Linked DNA regions of Callithrix jacchus. The protein of the gene in region 6 purifies or fractionates together with the protein of the main gene of each other region. This does not show direct contact. Links are inferred from orthologs where the notes say so. Each region holds a gene or a part of one and is shown on either strand. Other genes may lie near its edges. The genes, in order: SAP30L, SAP130, MTA1, BRMS1, MTA2, SIN3A and ING2.

Region 1 (4,105 bases), on a different chromosome or scaffold from region 6:
AAACAGAATCCCTTTCAGAAATAATGACTTCACACCACCTTAAAACAAATTGTGAGTGATTCCACCTGGAAACCTGACTCCTTCAGAAGTACTTTTGGGAACACTAGTGCTAGGCTCGGGCTGTCTTTCTTCTAGACAGTGTGTGTGAAATGATCAGCATAGCTCAACACAGGTTTTCTAGTAGAGTCAATGGGTTAATAAAAGGAACCCCAGTTGCAGTAGCAAAATCATTCAGATGGGAAGGGATCTAGTGGTCTAAAAGGGATGGAAGATTCTATTTCTTGGAAAATATTATTGTAAGTTGATCAAGTAAAGCAGCTTCTAACAATACACAGAAGGTAGGCAGTGTTACGAAGAGGATGAATTCATTGCCATATTTCACCTCAACATGTGACCTAATGAGGGACCACCTTGGTGATTATTTTTAGGTAATCACCATTCATGCATCCATCGATAGAAAGCTGTAGTAAGAAAGTCATTAACTTTCTCCCAAACACTTAAAAATCGCACCTGTCCATGCAAGAGCTGCAAATGTATTATAACGATCAACTTAAAATGGGTTAGGAGGGAAGAGTCTGAAGAAAGGACGGGGGCTAGGCACAGTGGCTCACGTCTGTAATCCCAGCACTTTGGGAGGCCTATGAGGGTGGATCGTTTGAGGTCAGGAGTTCAAGATTAGCCCGTCCAGCACCGCGAAATAAAAAATAAAAAAATGAGCCAGGCATGGTGGCAAACGCCTGTAATCCCAGCTATTCAGGAGGCAGGGACAGGAGAATTGCTTTAACTTGTGAGGTGGAGGTTGCAGTGAGCTGAGATCTTGCCACTGCACTCTAGTGTGGGCAACAGAGTGAGACTCTGTCTCAAAAAAAGAAAAAAAAAAAGGGACCGGAGATTTTGTATTTAGTAGAGACTTAATGAAGAGTTATGTATAGGGCTTGGAAGTAAATCAGATAATATGTTTAAGAAATTAACCAGCCTCTTAGGTGCCCTTTGTATCGGACACCCTCACTTCCTATCTCGAGGCCTGTTTCAATCCTAAAATCAGAGAGGAAAGGTGCACTCCTTTTCAGTTTAACAAGCAGTCTCTGATTTCTTCCAAGTGTGGAAAAATTTTGATTCTAAAAGAGAATGGATGTTAACCACCTAAGCTCTTAGTCTGCCTGAATATTAAATACCCCCTTAACTCATTTCCAGTTCCTAATCATGAATCAATCACTTAAGGCTTGCAGCAACAGATGTCAAACTAAAAAGTTCTTAATTGGCTGACAATAGGCACAGCTTCGGAATTGTTAACTACAAGTGGAGAAATCACAGGAGAAGTTTCCTATAATAAGGCACAAAGAGCAGGGCAATTCTATTTAAATCTAATTCTCCACCCTCTTACTTCAAAAGAAACTACCACTAAGAAAACTGATGACTTTTCTTCCCCCTCCAGTCAAATCGACTACAAGAGCCATTTCCCAAGACCTGGCTTTGGCCTTATTTCTGCCACATCCTAGAAAAACCCACTTCCAAAGCTGCCTTGGAAGCAGCTAGCTCGGTGACACTCTGCAGATGCCGAGGCTGCGGGAGCCAGGGAAGTAACTGCCACCTTTCTCTGTCTGAAGGAATAACAGGGTTCCTAGAAGGAGAGAGAAGTTGGAAAAGAGCTGGGTATCTTCACCCCCTCTCCTATTCTTGCTCCTTCAAGGGCCAACAAAATTAACCCACCTCTCCCAGCTATAAAATCTAAACCAATAAAACAAGTTGGAAACTGCTGTCCAATCTTCCCAGGCAGCAGGAGTCCCGAAGCCCCCGCCCCCATCCTCCCCGATCTGGGCAGAATCACAGTCAGAGCATGTCAGCGCCGGAGCGGCCTTTGAAATGCCGAGTCCAACTCCTCAGTTCTGCAGACCCGGGGCGGCGAGGCCCACGGCGAGGAGTGCCCAGGGAGTCCAGACCGCAGCCCGGGGCAGCGGCCCGAGAGGGTGGGGGGCGCCGGGGCCCAGACCCGGGCGGGGGCGGACTCACGCTCTTGTCGATGTCCAGCTTGAGTTTCTTCTGCGAGATGCTCTTCTGGACCCTCTTGCTGAAGGAGGCGTTGCCCGCGGGCCGGACGCAGCGCTCGCCGTCCTCGATGAGGCAGCAGCTCTGGCCGTAGCCCGGGGCGGCGGCGGGGGCGGCTGGGGGCCCTTCGCGGCTGTCTTCCTCCGTGCTGAAGCCGTTCATCTCCCCGCCCCGGGCCGGTTCCTCTGGGGGAGGGTCCCCGGTAGGCCACTCCGCAGCTGCGCTCGCCGCGGGGCAGGTCGCTGAGACCCCCGCACCAGAGGGTCCCAGAGTCTGACTCCAGCCCGGGCGCTGCCCTGCCCCGCGACAGAGAGGCCCGGCTCCCTCGGCCCCCGGCCCTCTGCCTCCGGAAGCCCCCTTCCTCCCCGCTCGAGGCCCCGGGGTCGGCTCCCGCGGCTCGCAGGGCCCCGCCGGGGGTCACCCGGAGGCGCCTTCTGCCGGGGGCCCAGAACCGTAACCCTGCAGCGGGGGCGTCCGGGAGGGCGTCCCAGGAAGCAGCCGCTCCCCAAGGACTCCGGGCCCACGTTGCCAGGGGGTTTCGAAGGCCCCCGCCTGCTCCCGCCTTCTTTCGGCTGCGGGGCAAACTCGCTGCCGGGCAGCTCCCCAGGGGTGGCGCGGCCTCCTCGCGCGGGGCCCGGCCTCGAACCCGCGGCGCCCGGGCCCCGCGGCTCGTCCGGCCCACTCCACCCCTGCAGCCACTAGGCTGCTCCCCGAGTCCCGCGGCAGCCCCTGGGCCGCCTGGCCGCCGCCAGCCGAACGCGCCGCACCACAACAGTTCGCTCCCCCCGCCCTCCGCGGGACAGCGGAAGTCCCGCCTTCACGAGGCCATTGGCCACATTTGCTCTCTGGGCGGGGCCGCCGCTGCCGCTGGCGCGTCCCATTGGGTGTCGCCGCCGCCAGTCTCCGGCGCCAGGCTACTTCCTGGACTCTGCTGGGATGGGTTCAAAGTAGAGAAAGTGGAAGAGGAAAGAGTTACCCCGGAGAGCACTGGGAACCGGGCCGCAGACTCTCGGGTCCCGGGGAGGGATGGTGAGCAGAGGCCTGGCTGGACCGAGGGCCAGACTCCAGGAACAGAGGAACACATTCGGGGACAGACAGAAGTAGAGACGCGGGCGGGGACGCTGAGGGACACACTTGGAGGAGCGGCATATGAGGGGACCTAAAGGGGATAGAGGTGCTCACGAGAGGGGCGGACGAATAAAACGAAAGGGCCAGGACCAGAAGACTCGCAGACACATGGGAGGGAGGGTGGTGAAATAGGACGAAAAGCCAGTCATGGCGGGAAAGACAGAGGGACAACCCCATACAGATAACGCCGAAAGACATGCGGAGGAGGTGATGGGGGATCTTGCAAGGTAGTCGCAATATTGGCGGTAGCCGAGAACTTCCAGACTGTGGAGACTGGGACTAGCTTGGAAGGCACGGAAAGAAAAGGAGAGTGGGAAAGGAGACCCGAGGGGTTTGGGCGACCCCTCCACTGGGAAGAGTGGGAAGTCCGGATGCGGTCTGTAGGGTGGACTAGGTGAGCCGCGGTCAGGAGGAGGGAGCTGCAGGGGAGATAGAGAGAAGGCTGAGAGTGGGGGCCAGGGGCCAATCTCGGGATCGAGATGGGGAAGGGCTGCGGTGTCTTGGGCCCTCCCTGGGGCTCCAAGCTGTAGTTTATTGCTTTGATCCCCCGGGTCTGTCGGCGAAGGGACTGCGCCCTGCCAAGCCCCTGCGCTTGGTTTCGGCGCTCAGGGCACCACCTTCCCTCCAGGAAGGGCTGCAGGGGATCCTCTGGTCCAGCACTTCAGTCATACCACTCTCCGACTGGGCAACATGGGGACAGAGGAGGTCCGTAGGGCGATAGGACTAGCCCAGGATAGTGTAGTCATTTAGGGCTGGGCAGTGTTTTGTGGGCAGGGAAGAGCGGAGGTTGTGTTAGGTGACAGGTGAGCAAGTGTTCCTATATTCATAGTACTAGAGGGTATAGAAGGAGCTTCGGGTTTGTGTCCTGTTGAAAAAGGGAAAGCTACTAGTTTCCTTGTTTAGAAGCAGATGCCTGGTGATCTTAAGTTTT
Region 2 (3,591 bases), on a different chromosome or scaffold from region 6:
AGACTGATTTGAAAAAAATCATGCTTAAAAAAGGAATTATACAAAGTGTAATTTTCAGGGGAAAATCTGAAAACATGAGTAATAAATACAGGCCATATTTGTGGGTTATTTTGTTTTATGCTGATAAAGCAGGATGATTAATGACACAGTGAGGCAGAATAACCAACACACGGCCTCCTACCTGTTGTCACTTCGTGTTTCCATGGCCACAGGATTGGGAGAGGCCCGATGTCCGGAGATGGGAATCAGGCTGCTCCTTTCGGCAGGGTAGTCAGGCTGGATCCGAGGAGAAGTGTGTGTGATCTGCTGGGGCACCACCTTGGCTGTAAACAGTAAACGCCAATTCCATGACCACTCTACAGTTGTTTTTTGGCATACCAAAACATTCTTGGCTAGCAGCAATTTTATGAAAGCAAACAAAATAAGCCTGGATTTTTAATCAAAACCAAAAATGAAAAATAAGTACATAAAGTTCAACAGAATTATTTCAACCCTATCATTCACTGATATATTCCTATAGTTATTAAAGCAAGGTTCAACATTAATACTTATACAAAGACAGCAGTGACCAGGCTCTTTTCTCCTCATCTGGCTTTTTAATGACCTGTTTTTAAAAGGAGTAAATTGTTTAAAAAGTAAATAGGCCAGGCATGGTGGCTCACACCTATAATCTCAGCACTGTGGGAGGCGCTGAGGTGGGAAGATCACTTGAGTTCAGGAGTTCAAGGCTATAGTGAGCCATGACTGCACCACTATACTCCAGCCTCAGTTACAGACTGAGACCCTGTCTCAAAATTCGTAAACAAACAAAATTTTGGGTTAAAAAATGGAAAAACCTTAGATTCTACTCTAGGTCCACAGATAATTATAAAACATAGCTAATTAGCAATGAGAAGACCAATTTAATTCCCAAGTCTGTTTCTTTACCTATAAAGAAGGCTTCTTTTTAGATCACTTAATAATTTCTAAGATCCTTTGAATGTCCTGCGATTTTATGTAATACTTCAGAGTAAAATCAAAATCAATAATTAGAGTTTCCTTTTTTTTTTTTATTTTTTTTTGAGACGGAGTTTTGCTCGTTTACCCAGGCTGGAGTGCAATGGCGCGATCTCAGCTCACCGCAACCTCCGCCTCTTGGGTTCAGGCAATTCTCCTGCCTCAGCCTCCTGAGCAGCTGGGATTACAGGCATGCACCACCATGCCCAGCTAATTTTTTGTATCTTTAGTAGAGACGGGGTTTCACCATGTTGACCTGGATGGTCTCGATCTCTTGACCTTGTGATCCACCCGCCTCAGCCTCCCAAAGTGCTGGGATTACAGGCTTGAGCGATTAGAGTTTTCAAATTCAATCTGAGGCTCCAAATGTGTACTCCTTTAAGACTTGCAATCCAATTTTGTATGGAAGTTATAGCTGAACTAGAATACACTTAACACTATTCTTTATAGACCTATTTATTAACAGTATGCCTGGGAATTCAGAAAGAAAAGCTGTGATCTTTTCTTTCTTATTCTGTCTTATCAGGAATACAGAGGGACCCCTTCCATCTGTGTAAAAACCCAAGTTATGCCAGTGAGAGGCACATTAACAACAGAGACTAGACTAGGAGGATACCAATATATTACCTTAAATTCAGAGCATTTAACATCAAAGGTAAGCTGCACAGACCAGCTGTGATGCCCAGCCAGCTCCTATGGGAAGCAGCCGGAGAAGTTTTTGCAAGGTGATAGCAGAGATGCCCATCTGACCACTGAAGATTGCATCTATTGGCCAATGCAGAGAGAAGCTGGCATGATAGGTTTTCCATCAGCGAGGTAAGCAATGAGGGTGGTGAGCAGGGGGCAACTAAGCCTTGCTTTTTCACTGAGGCCAATAAAAGGCAGGAGAAAATGATGCTTCCAATAGGAATAAAGCTGCCATATGACAGGGTAGCTAACCAATTGTTGGTGGTCAGACACACCCCACCCCTTGGCCATTAGTTTAAATCTGCTTGTTTTCTAATTTAAAAAGCCATATAGGCTGGGTGCAGTGGCTCATGCCTGTAATCGAAACACTTTAGGAGGCTGAGGCTGGCGGGTCACCTGAGGTCAGGAGTTCAAGACGAGCCTGGCAAACATGGTGAAACCCGGTCTCTACTAAAAAGGCAAAAATCAGCTGGGCATGGTGGTGCACACCTGTGATCTCAGCTACTCAGGAGAATTGCTTGGACCTGGGAGGCAGAGGTTGCAGTGAGCTGAGATCATACTACTGTACTCCAGCCTGAGACAAGGAGCAAGACTTCATCTCAAAAAAAAAAAAAACCCCATACATTTTCAATAATCAAATAAAAACCAAGGGACTATGAAGTACAGAAAACATTAAGTCTGTTATAATGCTATCTCTAAAACCTATTTTCTGAATAATGTGATCATCAGATTTTGCTTTCTATAATTCTGAGAACATGGTCACATGTTGACCAGAACATGGAGAAAATAAGACTGGTATTCTATTGGAATAGAGACAAAAACCTTATGCTTGTAATTTATCAGGCTCTTTTTCTCTGAGCCAACATAGTCCTAATAAGAATAGCTGAATTCAGATTTAACATCACCTGGAGAGGGAAAGCTCACTTGGAAAAAGCCACTTAGGTGATTTTAATACATATGCTCTACTTCCCAACTTGAAAATCAGGGATCTAGGGTTGTATCAGGTTTCCCTTCTCAACTCAGCTACCTTTCTTAAGAGAGATCCTATTATAATACAGAAATATTGGGGTTAGCATAAAAGAAATTAAAAGTCATATTCAATGTTGCTTTGAAAATCAACGATTGTAAAAATCAATACTAGCCATCAACATGAAGGCCGAGTCAGAGGAGCTACACCACTCCCTGTAAGCTTCTGTCTGAAGGCAGCATGCCACTTACCAACTGGGATGTTTGAGGTGGTCACAGCAGTCGCATGGGAGGAATGGGAGGGCACTGTCATGGTAACAATGGTACTTGTGGGAGCTTGCGTGTGTGACACAGATCCTGAAATAAAGGAAATTCTTTCACAATAACTTCTCTGCTTACGTTACAGATTCTCAAAACCCTGGGAAAACTCTTGGAAAAAGTTAAAAGAATTTCTAGCCCATTGTTTTTCTCTGAGTGAAGGTGAGAAATAAAAAATTAACCCACCACTGTTGCCTCCTTTTTCCCCAGTAGAAGGAAGAGCAGGGCTATGAACTTACCAGCTGTAGTCGCTGAAGGAATGGTGTTGGTTGCCAAAATAGGTGCTACTGTGGCTGCAGCCACTGGTGTGCCAGTACTGAATATCGTTTTCTGTGAGGGAAACCCCACAACACAGTTATAAGAATGTTATCCACTGCATCCAGGCTAAACACAATCAATGCCTTCAGTATTGCCAGGCCCTCTGCACATTTTGCACATTTTTGGTTTTATCCAACAAAGTAGTACACAAGTGGTTCTCCACCTTTGGTTTTACCTGAGCCATGGTATGAAGCTGCTGTTTTGGCGTCCCTAATGCAGGGTGAGATGGTAGTGTGATTCTTGTTGTGACATCCCGTGACTGGGCGGGACGCTGAATACTAATTGCTGCAGATGGTGGATGCTGGA
Region 3 (4,221 bases), about 120 Mb from region 6:
CTGAGGAACAGAGGTCAGGGAACCCTGACGCCGCCACCCTTGCCCAGGCACAGACACAGGCCTCAGTCTGTGGCCAGGGCACTCCGCGAGGAAGAAACAGGCCCTGTTCCCTGCCGGCTCACTGCTTCAGCCAGCTCAGCTGGCACAAAACTGCTGTGGCCGCCACACCTTCCCCTAGCGAGCCCGACCTGGCAGGGCCTTGGAGCAGCCTGCCAGCTAAAATGTGGGATGCCCAGATTAACTATGATCGTCAGATAAGAATCTTCTGGGATAAGCATGTCTCAGGCCATATTTGGGACATACTTACACTAAGAAATTTCTGTTTATCTGAAACTCAAATTTGCCTGGGCGTCCTGTACTTTTCTGTGCTAAATGTGGCGCCTCTATGCACAAGGTCCCTGCAGGCACACAGGAGCAAGCCCCTTCCCAGGCTGGGTCCCTGCAGGCAGCTCCCACAGGCCAGGGCTGGCCGCCCAGACAGGGCCCATGCCAGGCAGCGGGCGACAGACACACGAAGGCCACTCAGGAGACACTGCACACCTTCCTCTGTCTTGCCTAGGGGCTCAAGAATCCAGATGCCCCCTCCCCGAGTGAGCACCAAGACAGGAAGCCAACCTGCAACATCCAGCCCACTGCCACCACGGGGCCCTGCCAGGACCGCAGGACCAAAGCCGGGATTCCCGTCCAGAAGCCAGGCATAAATGCCGCTTCTCCTGTAGGATGATCAGGACAGAGAGGGGGAGCCCTAGTCTTGCCAGCAGGGAGAGGACGTCCTCGGGGCAGCCACACGGGGGGCCTGACAGCCCCGAGTACACCCTGGCCACAGTGACCACGGACTGCACACACAGAAGCAGCCGGATCCCACGCCTGCCTGTGCTGCCAGCAGACGGCACCCAACCTCCGTGCTCCTCATCCCAGGAAGAGAGCAGCGGCATCTCTGCCAGGCACAGTGGGCCCTTCTGCAGCAGCTTCGGGGTCCAGTCCACCCACCCTCACAGCACTGGTGCACTTGGGTCAGTGAGGCCCCAGGACGGGCCTGTGGGCATGGGGTAACAGAGGGTGCGGGGGACAGAGTGTCACGCAGCCCCACTCAGGGCTCCTCCCAAGCCTGTGCAGCACCCAAAGGGGCTGCAGCTCAGCGACGGGATGAGCAGGGCCCTGGCATTCTCAGCCACTGGGCACAGGACGGCTGAGACACAAGGTCCTCACCCACACCAAGGGGAAACCAAGGCACAGGAAGGTGGAGGGGGCGGCCAGGCTGGTGCCAAGTTGACAGGCAGGGGGGCCTGAAGGCCAAGCACGCAGCCACTCGCCACTGGGAAGGCATGAGCCGGGGTCCAGGTAGCCCCAGCCCTAGAGTCCAAAGCCGCCTTCACTCCCCACCCCCATCCTGGGTGGGGGCAGGAAGGGCTCTTCTTGGGACCAATCCCAAAACCATGCGCAGTAGGCCCAGCTGAGCCAGGCAGTAGGCATCCTCTGTACCAGGGTGAGAAACTGGCCCTCATGTCAGGCTGGAAGGGGGTATCCAGGTGGGGAGAAAGAACAAGGAGGAGCAGGCCCCTCCCACGAGGGACCCCGCACCCAGGCTGATCCCTGGGCAAGGGGTGGGCCCAAGCCCACCTGTGTCCACACACGGACCCGGCAAAGGTGTGTGAGGCTGTGGGAGGGGCAGCCGCGGGATGGAGAACAGGCCCACCGCCCCTGCAGAGGCCCGGGGCCGCGAGCTGCTGATGCGGACTGAGCACCCATGTCACAGACGGACGGGTGTAGGGGGCTTCCACCGTCCCCAAGGTCACAGGGCTGGCCGGTGGGACCACACAAACGTCCAAGGTAGCAGAAGCCACGCTCGAGGGACACAGAGCGTTCTGGGCACTCGGGGCCAGGGCAGTGGGGACCAGGCCAGCGCGGCAGTGACCCCAGCTCCCTGCAGCAGCGCAGGCTGCAGGTGGGGGAAGTAATGGGCACCTGCCGAGAGGGTCACCGGCAGGGAGGGGTCTCAGAGTCCCGGGGAGGGGGGCGCTGACGGAGTGATGGAATGCGCGCGACCCCCCACCTCCCTGTGAAAGACCCCACGGAGTCCCAGGCACACGAAGTAGGGCAAGGCCCAAAGCTGCAGGCCCAAGGGGCCCGAGCAACAGGAGGCTGGGCCCAGGGAGGCAGTCCCCGGCCCCGGCCCCGGCCCAGGGGGCCCTCCGGCCTCTCCCCAGCCCTTGCAAAGCGCCTCCCGACTGGGCTGAGGTGAGCGGGAGGCAGGGAAAAGTTTGGGGGGACTTGGAGGCGTGCTCCGGATGCTCGCTCCCCGCGGACGACCCCCGAGGGAGCCCTGCTGGGGGAAGCCCCGCGGCCAGGCTGCAGGAGGGCTCTGGGGAGGAGCGCGGGCCCTCGCCGGGGCTCCCCATCCCCGGGGCGATGCACCGGGGTCCCAGCACGGGCCTGCGGGCCGGGGGAGACCCCACACCCCACAACTCCGGCTCCCAGCCCGGCAGCCGGCGCCTCCCAAGGCCACGTGCTCCCGCTGGGGGCTCCCGGCCCCGGCCCCCCGATGGCCCCGCCGCCCGCGCCCCTCCCCGCCCCCGCGGCCGCCCCCTCCGCCCCAACAGGTGGGCCGCCCCCCACCCCGGCCGCCGCGCCCCGCCCGCCCCCGATGGGGCCGACCCGCGGGGCCATTTTGGGTTGGGGCGAGCGCGGCGGGGGCTGCTCGGGAAGGGCCGGGGCCGCGGGGCGCAGGGGCGGGGGCGGCGGCCGGGGCCGGGCATAAAGGCGGCGCGGCCTTACCTCCGACCCTGTACATGTTGGCGGCCATGTCCGGGCCGGCGGCGGCGGCGGAGGGGCCCGGGGCGGGCGCGGCGCTCGGCGCGGGCGGCCGGGAAAATGGAGGCGCGATGGCGGGGGCGGGGGGCGCCGCGGGCGTTTAAAGGGGCCGCGCTGCTGCCGCCGCCGCCGCCGCCGCCGCCGAGGCCGCCGAGGCCGCGCAGGGACGGGAGGGCCGCGGCGCGGGCGGGAGAGGAAGAGGAGGAGCGGCCGCGGGCGGCGGGGAGGGGCCTCGGGCGCCACCGCCCACCGCGCGGGCCGTTACCGACCCCGCGCCGCCCGCGGCCCGCGCGCCCCTTCCCGGGGCCCGGAGTCCTCCCCGCGCGCCGCTTCCTGGGTGGGCCCTTCCAGCCGCACTCCGAGCTAGATCCTCCCCTACTGCCCTGGGGCCAGGGGGGTCCTCCACAGGGGCCCCTTCCCTGGGGACCGTCCCGGTGCCCCGCAGGTGAGTCCTGCCGTAGCTCTCCAGGGCTTCCTCGTGGTGCTGGGGTCCTCCGCACTCCTCCCTGAGCCCCCCAAGGGCCCTGAAGCTCAGCGGCCCAGGCCTGGCCTCGGGGTCTCCACTCCACAAGTTCCTCCAGGCCTAACCTTTCCCCCCACCCTAGGGAGTGTGTGCCCTTGGCCTTCGCCGCCCAGCCCGCCTGGCACCCTGGACAGGTGGCCATGAGTGCCCTGCTGTGGGCAGGCCCCGTAGCTTGCAAAGCCTCCTTGAACTGTGACCTGGTGAGAAGGCCACAGAGGAGGTGCCTGTGCTCAGAGGCCACCTCCAAAGTCCCCATCTGAGGCTGGAACCCAGCACCTGCCGACCCTGCCAGTCCCAGCAGGGCTGGAGTCCAGGAGGGCCGCACTCTCTCCACAGTGGGGCAGCTGCCTTCCTTCCAGCCACCTGTCAGGATGCCTCCCTGTGTGTTTTCGCGCAGGTCTGAGGATAGGAGAGTCCAGTGACCCAGACGCCCCAGCCAGGAAGAGCATGAGGCGGGAAGGGGGCTTCCCAGATGGAGAGAAACAGGTGGTCTCAGAATGGCTTCGAGATGGGTGCAGCCTCAGTTTCGGAGGTGAGGAAAAGCAGGTGTCTCATGGCTCCAGGCTGCTGATGTGAGCAGCACCGTGGGTCACGGCCCTGCCCGCTCAGATGCTGGAGGTGGGTGCGTGGCTGGAAGGAGCTGCGGTCTGTCTGGGACATGCCTCCCTGCAGGACATGGAGGGAGCCCTGAGGCTGCGGTGCAAGATCTAGGCAGGTGGGACGGACGTGGTCAGGGTGCCGGGGAGAGAGCATGGGGACCCCAGCCCGGCAGGCAGGGAACAGCATGTGCTGGGAGGAGAGTCAGGTGGGGTCCAAGGAGAGCAGGGCCACAACGTTATGGCTGCGGAGCGGACCAGAAAGGAAAGCCCTGCCAGGGTTAGCACAGG
Region 4 (3,105 bases), on a different chromosome or scaffold from region 6:
CAGGCTTCTGTGAGAGGTGCAGATGGCCATTTGCACCCTTATTACCCAGTATGTGCTCAAGGTGTGGCCAGGCCAGTCACTTCCTGGCTGTCCCAATCTGGGGTCTGGTCGGGTTCAGCTCCCCACTGCCTCTTTCCCCCTCTGAACAGAGGGCAGCTGTGAGTGATGGCTTCATTCCTTCTCCCAGAGTCCAGATGCCTGTCCAGCCTCCAAGCAAAGACACAGAAGAGATGGAAGCAGAGGGTGATTCGGCTGCTGAGATGAATGGGGAGGAGGAAGAGAGTGAGGAGGAGCGGAGCGGCAGCCAGACGGAGTCAGAAGAGGAGAGCTCTGGTGAGCCCCTGCACACACACACACACACACACACAGCCCCTACACACAAGCATGCATGTACACGCACGCACAGCCCCTACACACAGCCCCTACACACAAGCACACACCACCCCTCCACATAAGCACGCATGCACACACCACCCCTCCACATAAGCACGCATGCACACACAGCTCCTACATGCACACATGCACACACAGCTCCTACACACACACACACATGCACACACAACCCCTACACACATGCACACACAGCCCCTACTCACAAGCACACATGCACACAGCTCCTACACACAACACACAGCCCCTACACACAAGCACACACGCAAACACAGCCCCTACACACAAGCACACACACATGCACGTGCATATATAGCCCCTACACACAAGCACACATGCACACACAGCCTCTACACATAAGCACACACAGCCCTTACACAAATACACAGCTCCCACACACGCACACATGCATACACAGCCCCTGTGCACAGGCACACATGCACGTGCACAGATAGCCCCTACACACGAGCACACATGCACATGCACACACCACCCCTACACAGAAGCACACACGCACACACAGCCCCTACACACATGCACACACACACAGCCTCTACACACAAGCACACATGCACACAACCTCTACACACAAGTACACATGCACACCCACACAGCCTCTACACACAAGCACGCACACACACATAGCCTCTACAAACAAGCACACACATACACAGCCTCCACAAAGTACACATGCACACACACACAGCCTCTGCACACAAGCATGCACACATATACACAAACAGCCTCTACACACAAGCACACATGCACACAGCGTCTACACACAAACACACACACAAGATTGCACCAGCTTGCTTTACAACATGCTTCAGGGGGAGCTGCAAGAGCAGAGCCAGAGACTGGAGGAGGACTGCCAGAGCCTGGACGCGCGCGCACACACACACACACACACAAGCACGCACATGCACACACAGCCCCTACACACGCATGCAGATGCACACACACGTGGGTATCCACCACGCCTCTCCAGAGCTACCCCTTACTGGCCTCTTGTCCAGAGATGGATGATGAGGACTATGAGCGGCGCCGCTGTGAGTGTGTCAGTGAGATGCTGGACCTAGAGAAGCAGTTCTCGGAGCTAAAGGAGAAGTGAGTGTGGGAATACCTTGGGCTGGGTCTGCGAGGATATGGGATGAGGAGGTGGCGGGCCTGGAACTGGGCAGGCATGGCTGGTGCCCAGGGAGTGCACGCCTGACATGGGTCTTGCTGTGCAATGGGTGCTGGGTATGTGTTTGTCCAAGAGCGATGGGTGAGCAAATGGGCTCACTGCTGCCTTCTCCCCACCCAGGCTGTTCAGGGAACGACTGAGTCAGCTGCGGTTGCGGCTGGAGGAAGTGGGGGCTGAGAGAGCCCCTGAATACACAGAGCCACTTGGGGGGCTGCAGCGGAGCCTCAAGATTCGCATTCAGGTGGCAGGTCTGTGGGTGGTTCTGTGCCCTATTCTCCTCCCAGAACCCATGGCACCCTGTCCCCTTCCTTTCTCGTTCCTGCCCAGCCTCACCCTTTGCTCTCAGCCCTCCTTTGTGGGCACTGGGCTCCCTAGACAAGCAGGGCCCCTCCTCCCGCCCTCTGCAGGGATCTACAAGGGCTTCTGTCTGGATGTGATCAGGAATAAGTACGAGTGTGAGCTGCAGGGAGCCAAACAGCACCTGGAGGTGGGCCTGAGGGCATACGGGGTGAGGCGGGTGCAAGGCCTGCAGTGGACTCCTCCTGTTCCTCCTGCTGAGCTATTGCCCGTCTTCTAGAGTGAGAAGCTGCTGCTCTACGATACGCTGCAGGGGGAGCTGCAGGAGCGGATCCAGAGGCTGGAGGAGGACCGCCAGAGCCTGGACCTCAGCTCCGGTGAGTGCCAGAGCCTGGCTCTGTCAACGCCCACCCGGCTCTGGACTTCAGCTTTCCTAACTGCACAAGGGGACAGTCAGACGACCTGCCTCTTGGGATCAGTGTGAGGACTGAAGGAAACCAGGCCTGGAAAGGGCCTGGCATACAATGGGGGCTCGGGCAGTGGGTCCCCCTGCCCTCTTCTGCCCCTGCTCTCTTTCCAAAACAGGTATCAATGTAACATGCAGTCCCATATAGTAGTTGTAGTCCCCTCCATGTTCACAGTACCAGTGTTCATGTGGAGTCCTGGGGTGGCAGGAATTGTCATTATCCCACTGTCCACTAAACAGATGAGGCTCAAGAAGTACAGTGGCCTCTTCCCGGGGTTGTGCATTTGGGACCTGAATAGCCCTAAGGGGCTTCCTATGGCAAGCCCAGGGTGGTGATGGGGCAAGGGAGGTGAGGCCAGGCTGGCCCATGGTGGGGGCAGAGGCTACAAAAGAGGGAGCATCCTGTGGGCCAGCACCCCAATTTTGACTCTGGGTCTGGGGGCAGAGTGGTGGGACGACAAATTGCACGCCAAAGGCAGCTCCAAGTCTTGGGACTCCCTGCCGCCCAGCAAGAGGAAGAAGGCACCTCTTGTTTCTGGTATCCTTTCACCCAAGGTGGCCTAAAAGTGGACAGGATCAGCTCCAGACCTGGAGTGGGGGGTGGAGAGGACATGGAGGACAGTCACATAGACGAACTCGTGGTTGCTTGGTGTCACGTGACCATGTCCAGGCAAATCCAGCTGTCAGCAGTTTCTTACAGGGTCCTGGGTCTCCCTGGGCTGTATGGTCCCTTGGAAAACAGAAATGGCTTGGGCTCAGTGGTGCA
Region 5 (4,171 bases), on a different chromosome or scaffold from region 6:
GGAACCCAGTAAAATGAAAAAGTATCACACAAGACTATTTACAGTTATTTTCAATTTCAGGAGATTCTGCTCTAAAACATCACATGTGGCCCTAACTATCCCTCATTTTCTAATAATAGTTCCTGGGGTTTTCAAGGACAAGACCTCTCAAGCTAGTGGCAACACCTTCCTCCCCAAGGAGCTGCAGCTTGCCCTGAAACCTTGTGGAAGGGGTTAACCTGGCTAGGCGCCAACCAACGTGGGAGGGGACAGAAGAGCCTCAGGCCCAGGCTCATTGGTGCATTGTTCCCAACCTCAGGGAGAAGGGGGGTTGTGCGGTAGGCTCCACCCCTGGCCTATGTGCTCCGGAAACCCTGTGCTAAGGCAAGGGGGACCACACCCCCAACACTCATTCTGATTGGACAAGGCCAAGGTCAGCCCCTGCCAGATGGGGCTGGAAACCCTAAAGGGCCAAGGAACTTGGTAAGCCGGGATCCTTCTTAACCCCTTCTCACCCAGAACAGTCTGAAAAAGGAAAATTTAGAAAGGTGGAACAAAAGGAAGGAGAAAGAAAATCAAAGCAGGAAAGGAAAAAGAAGCTGAGGAAAACATGTTTCTTTGTGTTGTTTTTTTTTTTTAAAAAAAAAGATGAGAACTTAAAGAGAATGAAGACAGGGCAAAATGAAAAGGGAAAGATGTAAAATGGAGTGGGGGCCGGGAAATGGGTGAGGTAAGAAATGAAAAGTACAAGAAAACTTTCCTACCATCTTCCAGCTTCCAGGTATTCCCACCACCTTGTGATTACAAAATGAGCCTACTTCCCTGTTATGCGGGCCTCTCAGAACAATCTCTTCCTCTTCACCTTGACCTTCAGTCACCACCTACTGTTCTAATGTACACCAAACTGTCCCCCTTTAGAAAAGCATTCTGCTTCTCTGAAGTTCATCCTCATCCCCTAAATAAACATTATCATCTCTCTCTTACACTCATACACAAACCATATTATAGCTTTCCTTATCACAATCTCTCCACCCTGCTTCCAACCCCAACGTGTAAAAACAGGCCTCCCTCCTCAGACCAGGTATTTCCCACCCCTAAATTCACACCTCTGCCTTGGGCATGCTACCAGGAGAAACTCCTGCAGGGACATGCCCAGGCCTCAGATCATGGGGAGGGGGAAAAGAAAGAGATGAAGGTACTCACTGGCATTACTATCAGCCAGGCTGTTGAGACTACTAGAAATGTCCCTGCGCCGGAAAAGACAGACAACCTTTGCCTCCACATTTCCATTTGCAGTCTAAGGAGAGAAAAAAAAAATGTAGCAGTGAAAAATTGATCATCTGGGTACAGAAATGCACAGAGACAAATAACAGTAAGTTTCAGAGGAACCTAAATAAAAAATCCCAAGAAAATAGGAGTAAAGACTTACATTCAAGGACAGACTTCCAAATCCCTTTCCTTTGCCCCCAAGAGACAGAATAGTAAGTTCCTGCTAAGCTCTCAATAGCCTTTCCTGAATACATCCAATGAATGAATGAATGAATATGAATAGATACTTAGTATAGAGTCCTCTCTTCCACCAGAAGTTAGAAACCTCAGAAGAAAGAGACCACTGGGGGAGGGAGGGAGAGGGATTCTGCTCCACTCACCTTGTTGAGCTCCTCAATCCGTCTAACCAGGTAAGGATTGCTAGAGGAGTTCTCAAAATAGACGTAATCTGTAAGGGAGGGGAGGGGGAAGAACCACGAAGATCAGAGGACGAGACGGGAGACACAGAGCACGAGAGTAGGAGAGAAAGTTGGCCTGAGTGGACCAAAAGAAGATAAAGATCCAGGTAGAGAGGGCGCTGAGATGTGAAAGTGGAAAGACTAAGAGAAAATAAGGATGTTCCCCATCCCCACCACGCCTAGTTCTAAAATCGGATCCTTCACAGAAAAGTGAGCCTTAAGGAACAGGCAAGAAGCAGGGGTTCCCCTGCGTCCCCACAACTCAGCTATGAGTTGCAGCCCAGTCGCGGCGAAGTCATTGTTCACGCTGGCGCTGGGCCCCCACCTTTTCGAACCGAGGCGCACAATAACGCCTGGGAAGAGGAAATCTCCGGGCGGCTCCCCCGCGGTGGCAAAGCCGTCGCCCCAGCCCCTCGCGTCGCCTCCCTACCAGGTCAGCTCCTTCTGAACCAGTTTCCAAAGCCCACTCTGTACCCGGGGGAGCCCCCGACGCAGCCCTGAGAGTGCCGTCGGGGCTGCCCGCAGCTTCTCTCCGGGAGTCTCGGCACCCTGCCGCGTCGCGGTCGCCGTTCCCGCACCCTCACTTCCCCGCTCCCAGTCTCCCGGTTCCGGTTCCGGTCCGCGCTCGGGTCCACGCTGCCCCAGACGCGGCGCCCCGCGCCACCAGGTGCGGAGTCCCTCCGGTCCCGACCCCAACATCTCCCGCCCCGGGCCCCGCACCCCTGCGCCCGGTACTCACCCCCCACCCGGTACATGTTGGCCGCCATGGCCGTTCCCGCCGCCGCCTCCGGCCGCACAAAGGGGTCCGGAAGGCTCGCGGAGGCAGGGCTCGGCTCGAGGCAAAGCCCCGAGCGTGGGGCTGTAGCTTCAAGGGAGTCTCAGTGGGGCCCGCGCAGCCGGCACCTCCACTGCCTCAGCCGTCGCGGTTCATCCCGGCCCGCGCTGTCGCCGCGGCAGATATCGCCCCACTCCCGGGACGCTGAGGCCGGCCCCGGTCCGCTCGGCTTCTTCCGGAACGAGCTCGGCTCCTGCCAGGCCAGAGCTAAGCTCCAGCTACCCCCGCCCCCGCCGAGTCCCACTAGTCGTTGGGATCTGCCGGCCGCAGGGAAGGCTTGCCCGGCCCGCCTCGGGGTTCGCCTCCTTCCGGAACACCTTCGGCCGATCCGGAGAACAAGGCCCACCGTTCGGCTTAGGTCGTAGAGCGAGACCCCGCAGATCGGCTACTTCCGGAAGAGGTTCGGCTCCTGTCGGCCAACAGCGGCCCGGCACTCGGCTATTTCCGTCGCAGCTCGGACCCACCCCATTTTTCCGAGGGCGGGAGAGAAGTCGGACTTAACTGTGTACTCGCTGGGTCCCTGCAGCTTCTCCTGCCGCCCCGAAAGACTCGCGCGCCTTCGCGCTTAACCAGGTTATTTGCAAGCGGCTTTGCCTGTTATTTGCATAAATGGTCTACGCTCCCTTACCCTTTCCGCACGCCTCTTTTCCTTCGTCCCCACCCCACAAGGCCCCGGAGGCCCCCAGCAGCGCCCCACAAAAGCACCGGGAGGCGACTTTGGTTCTCGTTTATTGCCCCTCAGCAGGCAGCGGGAGTCAAGGCCTAGGCTGGGGCTGCCCAGCTCAGCCAGCGGGTCTAAACAGTGTGTGCAGGGGCGCCGTTCGCGCCCTCCAGGGAAATGCGCGATCGGGAATGTCTGGAAGTCAGTCGAGGAGTCAGCCCCGGGTCTAAAGGAACTAGGGCGGGGCGGGGCGGGTCCACGCCTTCAGCCAGTTGGTCCGCCAGGCCGAGATCAAACGTCAAGGGAGGAGGCGGGGGACAGGGAGGGGGTTCGAGAGGGCGTGGCGGGCGCTGGCCCCGCGCCCCCTGCTCCCAGCATTCGCCACTGGAAGATGCTGGCATCCTTGCCGCCCAGCGAGACGAGGTGCGAGTCGTCGTACGTGAACCGGACGCTGGTCACGTGGCTGCCGTGGCCACCGTACATGCGGCTCGGCGCCTGGACAGGAGGGAAGGGAGTTGCGGTGGCGGCGGAGCCCTCGGGCCCACCCGTCCTGTCCCGCCCCACCCCGCCCCGGAGGCCCCTGCGGCCTCACCTTGGCACGAGCACACGGGTACTGGAAAAGATGCACTTTGCAGAAGTCGTCAGCCACCGCCACCACGCGCTCATTGTGGGAGCGGCACAGGGAGTTGATGTCGGTCCCATCGGAGCCGTCCGGCCACACGCCTAGCACAGCGGCCGGCCTCAGCCCGACCTCCTCCCCACTGCCACCCACGGCCCAGAGCTGCACTATTTCAGGCGCTCCGGCAGCCACGGCCACCCACTGCCGCGTTCCAGGCAAGCCTTCCCGGTCCCGAGGGCCGGGGGGGGGGGGCCTCCTGGGCTGGATCTTCAGGTTTCTGGACTCCCACCCAACGACACACGCCCAGCGTTTCGAGCCCAAACTGGGCTCCACCTTGTCCCCCGCCCCTC
Region 6 (3,591 bases):
GGTCCAGAGACTTCAAGTAGTATTTCTCATTTTGTTCTCGCCATACTTTGTTAAAGCCTCTCTGAGCTTCTCGCCATTCTTCCTCTTTCATCTTCAACCTAGTGAAGTGGGAAGGGATGGAAACAACATATGGGAATTCAGAGGGTTTAGAACAAAGAAATCTGCCAGGTTTACTTTATTTCAAGAAAAGTTAAAGCTATATTAGGTCTGTCAAAATTATTGGCAACTTAGGATGAATGTTATCAAATCTGTCTTGAACTCTGTTTCATGAGGAAATTACTCATCCAAGACTTATTTTGGGGAAATGATTTATCTCAGTCAAATAATTTCCCTAGAACAGTTACTTATCAAACAGCATTCCAAGGAATACCTTTGAGATTTAAGGAAGTCTTCCTTGAAAAAAACAGTTCTCTTCTTTTGCCAGCAAAAATAAAGTTAAACATGTTTCTTTGCTGCAGGATTTTGCAAAATGTTCACAATGCTAATGAAGACATAGAAGTCCAAGAGCAGAGAACGTGCACAGTAATGTTCCTCTGGATACAGTCTGGAAAGTTCTGACCAGAACTGATTTTAATAACCCAGAAGACAACAGACTAAGACCAAAAAAACAGCACTAAAATGGAAGAATAATCAACATCTCAAAAGCCAGAGTTAAATGTTACAGGCAAAAAGAAACCATCAATCTGTGCCAGCTCTTGAGGGAAAGATGAAGGACAAATAAAATCTGGGTATTTGTCAACAATGCAGCAAACAAGAATTAATTTTTACCAGATGATACTTAGAGAGAACCAAGCTCACAGCAAAGGATTCAGTGTGGTCAAGAATGACATAGGGCTGGGCATACTGTGGCCTGTGCTATAATCCCAGCACTTTGGGGAGGCCAAAGCAGGAGGATTGCTCGAGCCCAGGAGTTAGAGGTCAGCCTGGGAAACATAGCAAGACCCTGTCTGTATTTAACAAAATTAACAATTAGCTGGGTATGTGGTGGCGCAGGCCTGTAGTCCCAGATCCCTCCTACCCTGAGGTAGGAGGATCACTTGAGCCTGGGAAGTCAAGGCTGCAGTGAGCTGTGTTCACACCACTGCATTCCAGCCTGGGTCAAAAAGTGGAGACCTTGTCTCAAAAAAAAAAAAAAAAATTAATTAAAAATAAAAAAGATTTTAAGTTAATCCTGAGTGGCAGGAACATGGGTGGCAATTATCTTTTCTTTTCTGTATTTTAAAATACTCCCTCAAACATATACACAGAGCCTTCCACCATGAACCTACAAGATTTGTTCTCTAACGTTGGTCACAAAGAACCCCCAAAAGAAGTTCCACTCTGCATGTAAATTCCAACAACCAGGGCTGGGGAGAAAGAGCGGTCTCATGGGACAACCAGGTTGAAAACAAGAGCCTTATTTAGTGGGACACTGACACAGTAGTGAAGTACACTAAAGCACCGAGGGCACATTTGCTCAGGTACCTTTTAAGGACAATTGGGACAGCGATGGAAGGATTCTTTCTCAGACCATCAATGATGTCAGCTGCTTTATCAGCATATATCCTCTGGAGTGCTTTTCTATGGATGACTTCTGATGTGCCCCCAAGGGTGTTGTCCAAGCGAAATTTGGCTTGTTCCTCAGCAGACAAGCGGGAAAGCTTCTTCTGTATTGCTTCCAGAACCCGGATTGTTGCCAGATTGGTTTCTAAAACTACATCAAGCTGAAGAGGAAGACAAAGGTATGCTTAGGACCCAAATCAGAATAGAATATAGTGGTTAGACGAATAAGGTAGGGAGTTGAACTCCTTGGATTTGAATCCTGGTTCTGCCTTACTAGCTGCATAAGGCTGTTTCCTTACCAGTAAAATAGGGATAACAGCACCTATTACTCTAATAAGCTTCTTTTTGGATTAAATGATATAATCTACATAAAGTATTTAGCACAATGCATGGCACTTTAAGAACCATAGGACTGAGTCAGTAGTCTACAAAGCAGAAAAAAAAAAGAACCATAGGATTAAGTTGGATACATGGTAGTTATTACCTCCATCACCACCAGTGTGTGCCTTGCTTAGGACTACTGATCTTGCACCAGAGGAACCTAACAGGAGATGACTTTACTGATACGTTTCTCTGAACTTTCCTGAATTGCTAAGATCCATTATGAACAAACATCATCAAAACAATCCCAAAAGACCTCTGTCTTGAGAGTTTTTAGGTTTAACTTGAAATATTTAAATATATTCAAATACTTAAATATTCAATAGCCTTGTTCTGCATCCAGTAATAGTAAAAGCAGTGACTATCATACCCTAAGGAGTTTGCTGTTGCATCTGTGGGTAATCATTTAAATTCTTATTGAACTCCTGGCAACCTTTGATTCTAGTTTTTCCCTAGCATAAAATAAGGTTCTTTAAATGAGAAACAGAAAATGAAGTAAATGGGCCAGGTGCGGTGGCTCACGTCTGTAATCCGAGTACTTTGGGAGGCCAAGGTTGGTGGATTATGAGGTTAGGAGATTAAGACGATCCTGGCCAACATGGTAAAACCCATCTCAAAATACAAAAATTAGTTGGGCATGGTGGCGCGTGCCTGTAAATCCAGCTACTCGGGAGGCTGAGGCAGGAGAATCACTTGAACCTGGGAGGCAGAGGCGACAGTGAGCTGAGATCACACCACTGCACTCCAGCCTGGTGACAGAGCTAGACTCCGTATCAAAGAAGAAGAAAAAAAAGAAGTAAATGAGCAGTCTCAAGAACCTACAGCCAAATGTTTGCAGAATTGTTCCCTACGTTTTCTTGTTTTGAGACTCTGGTAGTCATTTTGTCAATAGTTCTGGCCCCTCTTGCTCTCCAAATACAGACAAAAAGGGACTAAATTTCCTGGCTCCCTTATGAATGAATAGGGTCATGTAACTAGTTCTGGCAAATGATTTGTTATGAGTTGAGTAAAAGTAATGTTTATTACTTCTAGGCTGGAGCATTTAAAGGTAAGAGATCTTTCTGGGCTTTCTTTTCCTTCTAGTAACTGGCAACATTCATGATGGTGGCAATCCCTTGGCCTGGGTCCCCTGTGATTCAGACACGCCAAATCCCCTGCTAAACACCAACGTACACGTAGAATGATTAGAAATTAAACCCAATGGTTTTACAAGTCACTCAAATGTGGGAATTGTCTGTACTGAAGCATTACTAACCTATTTATGATTGGTAAAGCATGTTCCTTCAAACTAGCCCACCCCATCAAATCTTAAACACATGGACACCCCACACTTCTTTCATCTTTGCCCTTGTAGTCACAAATGAGAAATGAGGCTGCCTCTCATTTGCAGGCATACCAGTTGAGAAAGGATGGGAACATTCTGTCAAAAACAGATGCCAAGCTCTCCTAACTCATCAGCTAACCCTACTAAATATAAATAACAAAGAAATGTCTTCTTTAGTTTGGTAATACTCCTATGGAAGTTAAAATCTGTCATGATTTAGTTTTCTGCAAATAGCTGCAACTCCTTATAAATGCTGGGGCAAAGATGGCCAACCACCTGCCAGTGGTGAGGCAGCATGTGGCTGTTCATTAAAAACACACCAGAAACAGCTGAAGCAAGTGTGA
Region 7 (4,083 bases), on a different chromosome or scaffold from region 6:
CCTCTCGATAAAGAGCTAGATTTCTCTTGCAAGCCGAAGGCTAGTTACTATTCCCAGCTGTTTCAAAAGTGCTCTAAATAGGTCACCATTCCGGTGCACCCACGCTGCAAACTGCATCTAAGATCCAAATTTGTCGCCACTCACTCACATTTTCTTTTTAACTCCAAGGTAGTACTCACAATAGGGCTTGTTTACATCGGCATCCATCAAAATTCTCCAGGCATTCGTTCTACTGACACCATTTCTCTCAAAAAAGTCTATCTAAGTAAAATCAGCTCCTCCGCCGGGCATCTGGTTTACACTACACCGAAGTGAAACCCCACTAGACCCCGCAGATCGCGGGGCCGAGGGCCCGCCCGCTGACTAGGTATCTACTAGCGTCTCCACCGCCCCGGTCCCCTCCGGTTGTAGTCACGGGACAGGATTGAGCAAAGACTCCCGTAAAGCTGCCGTGTGCCCCTGGAAGCCTCGCCGACGTCCCATGCTTACATGATCTGACACCCCCAAACGTAGTTGTTTTTAGGGACCAATGCGTTGGCAGGCAGAGGCCGCCCCGCGTCTCTTCCCCCTAAATGACACAGTAGATTCCCGCGCAGGGCAAGGGCCAGGAAACCCGCAGGGCACACGACGCCGCCGGGGCCGGAGGGAGCACGGTCTACCTCTCCGATCAGCTCCGCAGGGCCGGGCGAGCCCGAGGGCCCGGCAGGAGGCGGGCGGCAGCCCCAGGCGAGCTCAGAGGCGGCGGGAACGCAGCCGCCGCGCATGCTGGGAGCCGCCCGCCGGGGCGCGCAGTCCCGCAGGCCTCGCTCCGGGTAGTCAGAAAAGGGGCCGCTTGCTGCTCCTTTGCAGGCTCGCTCGGACCCGCGCTCGGACCGCCGGATGGGGAAAAAGCCCGTGAGGCCAGGCGGAGCGAGCCGGGAAGAGCTGCCCCTCCCTTTGGGGAGGACCGCAAGAAGGACCAAGCCACCTCCCCTGTCGGGTCCCATTCAGACTTGGGGCGCAGAGGCGGGCTCCCCGGGCTTCCCCTTTAAGGGAGGCGGGGCGCGGCCTGCCGTTTGGCCGCCCCCCTCGCGCCCTCCCCGCTAGCCTTGAGCCAGCAGACCAATCGCCCGGGCGGCGGAGCGAAGGCGGGAGAATGCGAACCCTTCGGTAGGCGGTAGGGGCGGGGCCCCGCCTCATTTGGAGCGAGCCGTGCGCAGGCGCAGAGGCGGCCGCGGGCGGAGGGGCGGGGGCAGGCCAGCGGGAGGCTCCCCGTCAGGCACGGAGGGTGCCTGGGGACTGGCGGGCGGCGACGGGCTTGTCATGGGGATCCGGGCTGCGAGACGGCACTGGTAGCATCTGGGGACTCCGAGAGGGACAGGAAGTGTCAGCGCCCGTGACTCCGGCGCCGGCCCCGCCGAGGGGATCCCGGCTGCTCCGAGCCTGGAGTTTCGCCCCGCCCCTGGGCTGGTGCCGCGGGGGCGGAGAGTGAGGGCTGCTTTGGGGGGGAGCGGAGGTCGGGGAGCGCGGCCGTGCCCTCTCGAGCGGCTGCGGGGTCCCCGCGGCGCCGGGCTGCGGAGCGAAGGGCCCGCGGCGGCCGCGGCCGGTGCATGTACGGCTGCTGGATGCGGAGGCGGCGGCGGCGGCGCTGAGCGGCAGGATGTTAGGGCAGCAGCAGCAACTGTACTCGTCGGCCGCCCTCCTGACCGGGGAGCGGAGCCGGCTGCTCACCTGCTACGTGCAGGACTACCTTGAGTGCGTGGAGTCGCTGCCCCACGACATGCAGAGGAACGTGTCTGTGCTGCGAGAGCTGGACAACAAATATCAAGGTAGGGGCCGCGGGGCTACCGGCCTCGGAGCCGGTGGCGGGGAGCCTGCCCGGGGGAGTGCCACCTCCCTTTCTCCCGTGACAGTCTCGCCGAGCGCACCGAGGGTCTGCTGAGCGGGACGGGGAGGACTGGAGACCGGGTTCGGGCCCTCCCCTGCCCCGCGGTGGGCTAAGACTTCTCTGGGGTCCCCGGATTGGGGGTGGGGGCCGCTCGTCAGCCCCCGCTGCAGACCCAGCGGCTGCAGCTGCCGGGGAGGGGAATCAGCCATTTTAAGCAGCAAGCATTTGTTCTGGCGCTCGCCCGCCCCGTGCCGCAGACCTTGCCGCCCCGGCCCGGGATTGTGCAGCCGGGCAGGGGCCAGAGGGAGTGAGCGGCCGGGCTCCCGCTGATCTGCCGGGCGCGCTTCCCCACCCGACTCGCCCCCACCCGGGAGCGCGGGTGCTTTGGAACGTGCCGGGGGAGGGGGCGAGAGGCCGTGGAGGCGGACTGAGGGGGCCTCCCTCGGCGCCCCAGCCCCGGCCCGGAGGAGCGCGGTCCGTTCCGCTCTCCCGCCCCGGGAAAGTTCCGGATCGCCTAGCGCCGCAGCCCTGGCCCAGCTCCTCCGGCCAATGGTTAAGAGGGGAGGGGTCCCCCGCCCGGGAGGAAGAGAGGGGCGTGTGTGGCGGGGAGGGCCCGCGCCGGGGGCGGGGCCTGCGGGCGTGACGTAGGCGTGGGAGGGGCGCGGCGCGGATTCTCGCGGGCCTGGAACTTGGCTGGTAGCGAGAAGGGCAGTAGCGTGCCGGCTGCTGAGGAGGGAATCGGGGCGGTGCGGGGCGTTGGTTCGGCCCTAGCAGCGTCCGAGTCGGGGGTTGTAGCATGTTTGCGGCGATATTTCCAGGCTCTTCCAACCCGTGAGTCAGGACGGGGATCGGCAGCTCGGACGGTCGCGGATCCTGGCTCCGCGTAAGTTCCGGGACATGTGTCACTTCCGGGCCTCTGGAGGATGTGGGTTGGTTGACTGGGCAACCGCCTGGCGTCCCCGAGCCCCTCCTCCTTGTACTTCAGTGATGAGGCGAAACCACCCTTTGCGGGCCGACCCGGGAAGCCGGGACAGAATCGACCTTCCTTATAGCCTTATCATCTACTATCGGTTGTGCCCCTAGAAGGGCAGTTTAAAAGGGGAAATGTGTTGCGCCTAATAACCCTGAGTCGAGGAACAGACCTTGAACATAGTATGGAAACAGCCATATGGACTTTAAAGATAACTTTCTGAACCCATTCTCTATTTTTGTAGACACGTCAGTAATCCTATAGTTTAAAAGTCTCTGAGGAATCAGCTTCTTGGGTGACATTTTCTGACCTGTAGCATGTTAGAAATTTAAGTGTCTCTGATTTTTTAGTTTATAAATTTATCTGTTTTCTGAATCCGTAGGATTCGTAAGGCCCGAATCCTGTGTTGCAGGGGGCGGGGAAGGGAATTAATACTGATACGCCAGGAACAGACCATCATATAAGTATTTCTTTTACAGATAATATTTACAGAGAGTTTAAGTAACTCGTCCAGTTAATTAGATGTAGACTATATGGCTCCAAAGCCTGCTACTTTAGATGCACATCCTTGTTTTCAAACAATTTAAACTTTAAAAAATAGGGGCCGGGCGCGGTGGCTCAGGTGTGTAATTTCAGCACTTTGGGAGGCCGAGGCGGGTGGATCACGAGGTCAAGAGATCGAGACCATCCTGGTAAACATGGTGAAATCCCGTCTCTACTAAAAATACAAAAAATTAGCTGGGCATGGTGGCGCGTGCCTGTAATCCCAGCTACTCAGGAGGCTGAGGCAGGAGAATTGCCTGAACCCAGGAGGCGGAGGTTGCGGTGAGCCGAGATCGCGCCATTGCACTCCAGCCTGGGTAACAAGAGCGAAACTCTGTCTCAAAAACAAACAAACAAACAAACAAAAAAAACATTGGAACTGCCCAAGGGGATTTCTAGAGGTATGGAGTACATACATGAATGGTAACCTAAACGTGATATATGTTTAATAATTGTACATTGAACCTTTCTAGTTTTTCAAATAACTCTTAAGTTTGTAAAGCTTGCAGGTTTTTACATTGTTTGAAGGCACATGTTTCCTTTCACGAGAGTTAAGCTGTTTGAAGTTGGTGAGGGATGCTATAATTTGTTGACAGGGAAATCTGCTTCCGGATCATCTATAATTGTCCTGTATTAATAGTTCTGGTAACAATATAGTATGCTTTACAAGATTGAGACATTATAAAAATTCTTAGCTCTATGA

What was found.
Region 1: the proteins of SIN3A (region 6) and SAP30L purify together in Homo sapiens (affinity purification with western blotting; 4 studies listed by BioGRID and IntAct, with this or other methods). This does not show direct contact. The link is inferred for Callithrix jacchus from reciprocal best matches to the Homo sapiens genes SIN3A and SAP30L.
Region 2: the proteins of SIN3A (region 6) and SAP130 purify together in Homo sapiens (affinity purification with mass spectrometry; 4 studies listed by BioGRID, with this or other methods). This does not show direct contact. The link is inferred for Callithrix jacchus from reciprocal best matches to the Homo sapiens genes SIN3A and SAP130.
Region 3: the proteins of SIN3A (region 6) and MTA1 purify together in Homo sapiens (affinity purification with mass spectrometry; 3 studies listed by BioGRID, with this or other methods). This does not show direct contact. The link is inferred for Callithrix jacchus from reciprocal best matches to the Homo sapiens genes SIN3A and MTA1.
Region 4: the proteins of SIN3A (region 6) and BRMS1 purify together in Homo sapiens (affinity purification with western blotting; 4 studies listed by BioGRID and IntAct, with this or other methods). This does not show direct contact. The link is inferred for Callithrix jacchus from reciprocal best matches to the Homo sapiens genes SIN3A and BRMS1.
Region 5: the proteins of SIN3A (region 6) and MTA2 purify together in Homo sapiens (affinity purification with mass spectrometry; 4 studies listed by BioGRID, with this or other methods). This does not show direct contact. The link is inferred for Callithrix jacchus from reciprocal best matches to the Homo sapiens genes SIN3A and MTA2.
Region 7: the proteins of SIN3A (region 6) and ING2 purify together in Homo sapiens (affinity purification with mass spectrometry; 5 studies listed by BioGRID and IntAct, counting the BioPlex papers as one, with this or other methods). This does not show direct contact. The link is inferred for Callithrix jacchus from reciprocal best matches to the Homo sapiens genes SIN3A and ING2.

The regions. Positions count from the first base shown.
Region 1 is NC_133503.1:53,653,819-53,657,923, reverse strand, and holds the start of SAP30L (histone deacetylase complex subunit SAP30L), read right to left. Parts: upstream 2,817-4,105; 5' UTR 2,209-2,816; coding exon 2,011-2,208; intron 1-2,010.
Region 2 is NC_133507.1:36,408,558-36,412,148, reverse strand, and holds part of SAP130 (histone deacetylase complex subunit SAP130), read right to left. Parts: coding exon 3,461-3,591; intron 3,298-3,460; coding exon 3,207-3,297; intron 3,007-3,206; coding exon 2,902-3,006; intron 324-2,901; coding exon 182-323; intron 1-181. UniProt on the Homo sapiens protein: Acts as a transcriptional repressor. May function in the assembly and/or enzymatic activity of the mSin3A corepressor complex or in mediating interactions between the complex and other regulatory complexes.
Region 3 is NC_133509.1:140,274,779-140,278,999, reverse strand, and holds the start of MTA1 (metastasis-associated protein MTA1), read right to left. Parts: upstream 2,872-4,221; 5' UTR 2,804-2,871; coding exon 2,776-2,803; intron 1-2,775. Other genes in the region: uncharacterized protein LOC128928889, read left to right, coding at 2,872-3,256, 3,732-3,866. UniProt on the Homo sapiens protein: Transcriptional coregulator which can act as both a transcriptional corepressor and coactivator. Acts as a component of the histone deacetylase NuRD complex which participates in the remodeling of chromatin.
Region 4 is NC_133511.1:123,419,130-123,422,234, reverse strand, and holds part of BRMS1 (breast cancer metastasis-suppressor 1), read left to right. Parts: exon of another isoform or gene 1-187; 5' UTR 188-194; coding exon 195-333; exon of another isoform or gene 334-1,406; coding exon 1,407-1,497; exon of another isoform or gene 1,498-1,696; coding exon 1,697-1,824; exon of another isoform or gene 1,825-1,983; coding exon 1,984-2,063; exon of another isoform or gene 2,064-2,153; coding exon 2,154-2,250; exon of another isoform or gene 2,251-2,784; coding exon 2,785-2,877; exon of another isoform or gene 2,878-3,105. UniProt on the Homo sapiens protein: Transcriptional repressor. Down-regulates transcription activation by NF-kappa-B by promoting the deacetylation of RELA at 'Lys-310'. Promotes HDAC1 binding to promoter regions.
Region 5 is NC_133511.1:119,870,995-119,875,165, forward strand, and holds the start of MTA2 (metastasis-associated protein MTA2), read right to left. Parts: upstream 2,852-4,171; 5' UTR 2,474-2,851; coding exon 2,446-2,473; intron 1,697-2,445; coding exon 1,629-1,696; intron 1,277-1,628; coding exon 1,183-1,276; intron 1-1,182. Other genes in the region: EML3 (echinoderm microtubule-associated protein-like 3), read right to left, coding at 3,494-3,697, 3,795-3,925. UniProt on the Homo sapiens protein: May function as a transcriptional coregulator. Acts as a component of the histone deacetylase NuRD complex which participates in the remodeling of chromatin.
Region 6 is NC_133509.1:22,463,626-22,467,216, reverse strand, and holds part of SIN3A (paired amphipathic helix protein Sin3a), read right to left. Parts: intron 1,704-3,591; coding exon 1,465-1,703; intron 99-1,464; coding exon 1-98. UniProt on the Homo sapiens protein: Acts as a transcriptional repressor. Corepressor for REST. Interacts with MXI1 to repress MYC responsive genes and antagonize MYC oncogenic activities. Also interacts with MXD1-MAX heterodimers to repress transcription by tethering SIN3A to DNA.
Region 7 is NC_133504.1:7,879,315-7,883,397, reverse strand, and holds the start of ING2 (inhibitor of growth protein 2), read left to right. Parts: upstream 1-1,204; 5' UTR 1,205-1,639; coding exon 1,640-1,808; intron 1,809-4,083. Other genes in the region: uncharacterized protein LOC108590761, read right to left, coding at 660-986. UniProt on the Homo sapiens protein: Seems to be involved in p53/TP53 activation and p53/TP53-dependent apoptotic pathways, probably by enhancing acetylation of p53/TP53. Component of a mSin3A-like corepressor complex, which is probably involved in deacetylation of nucleosomal histones.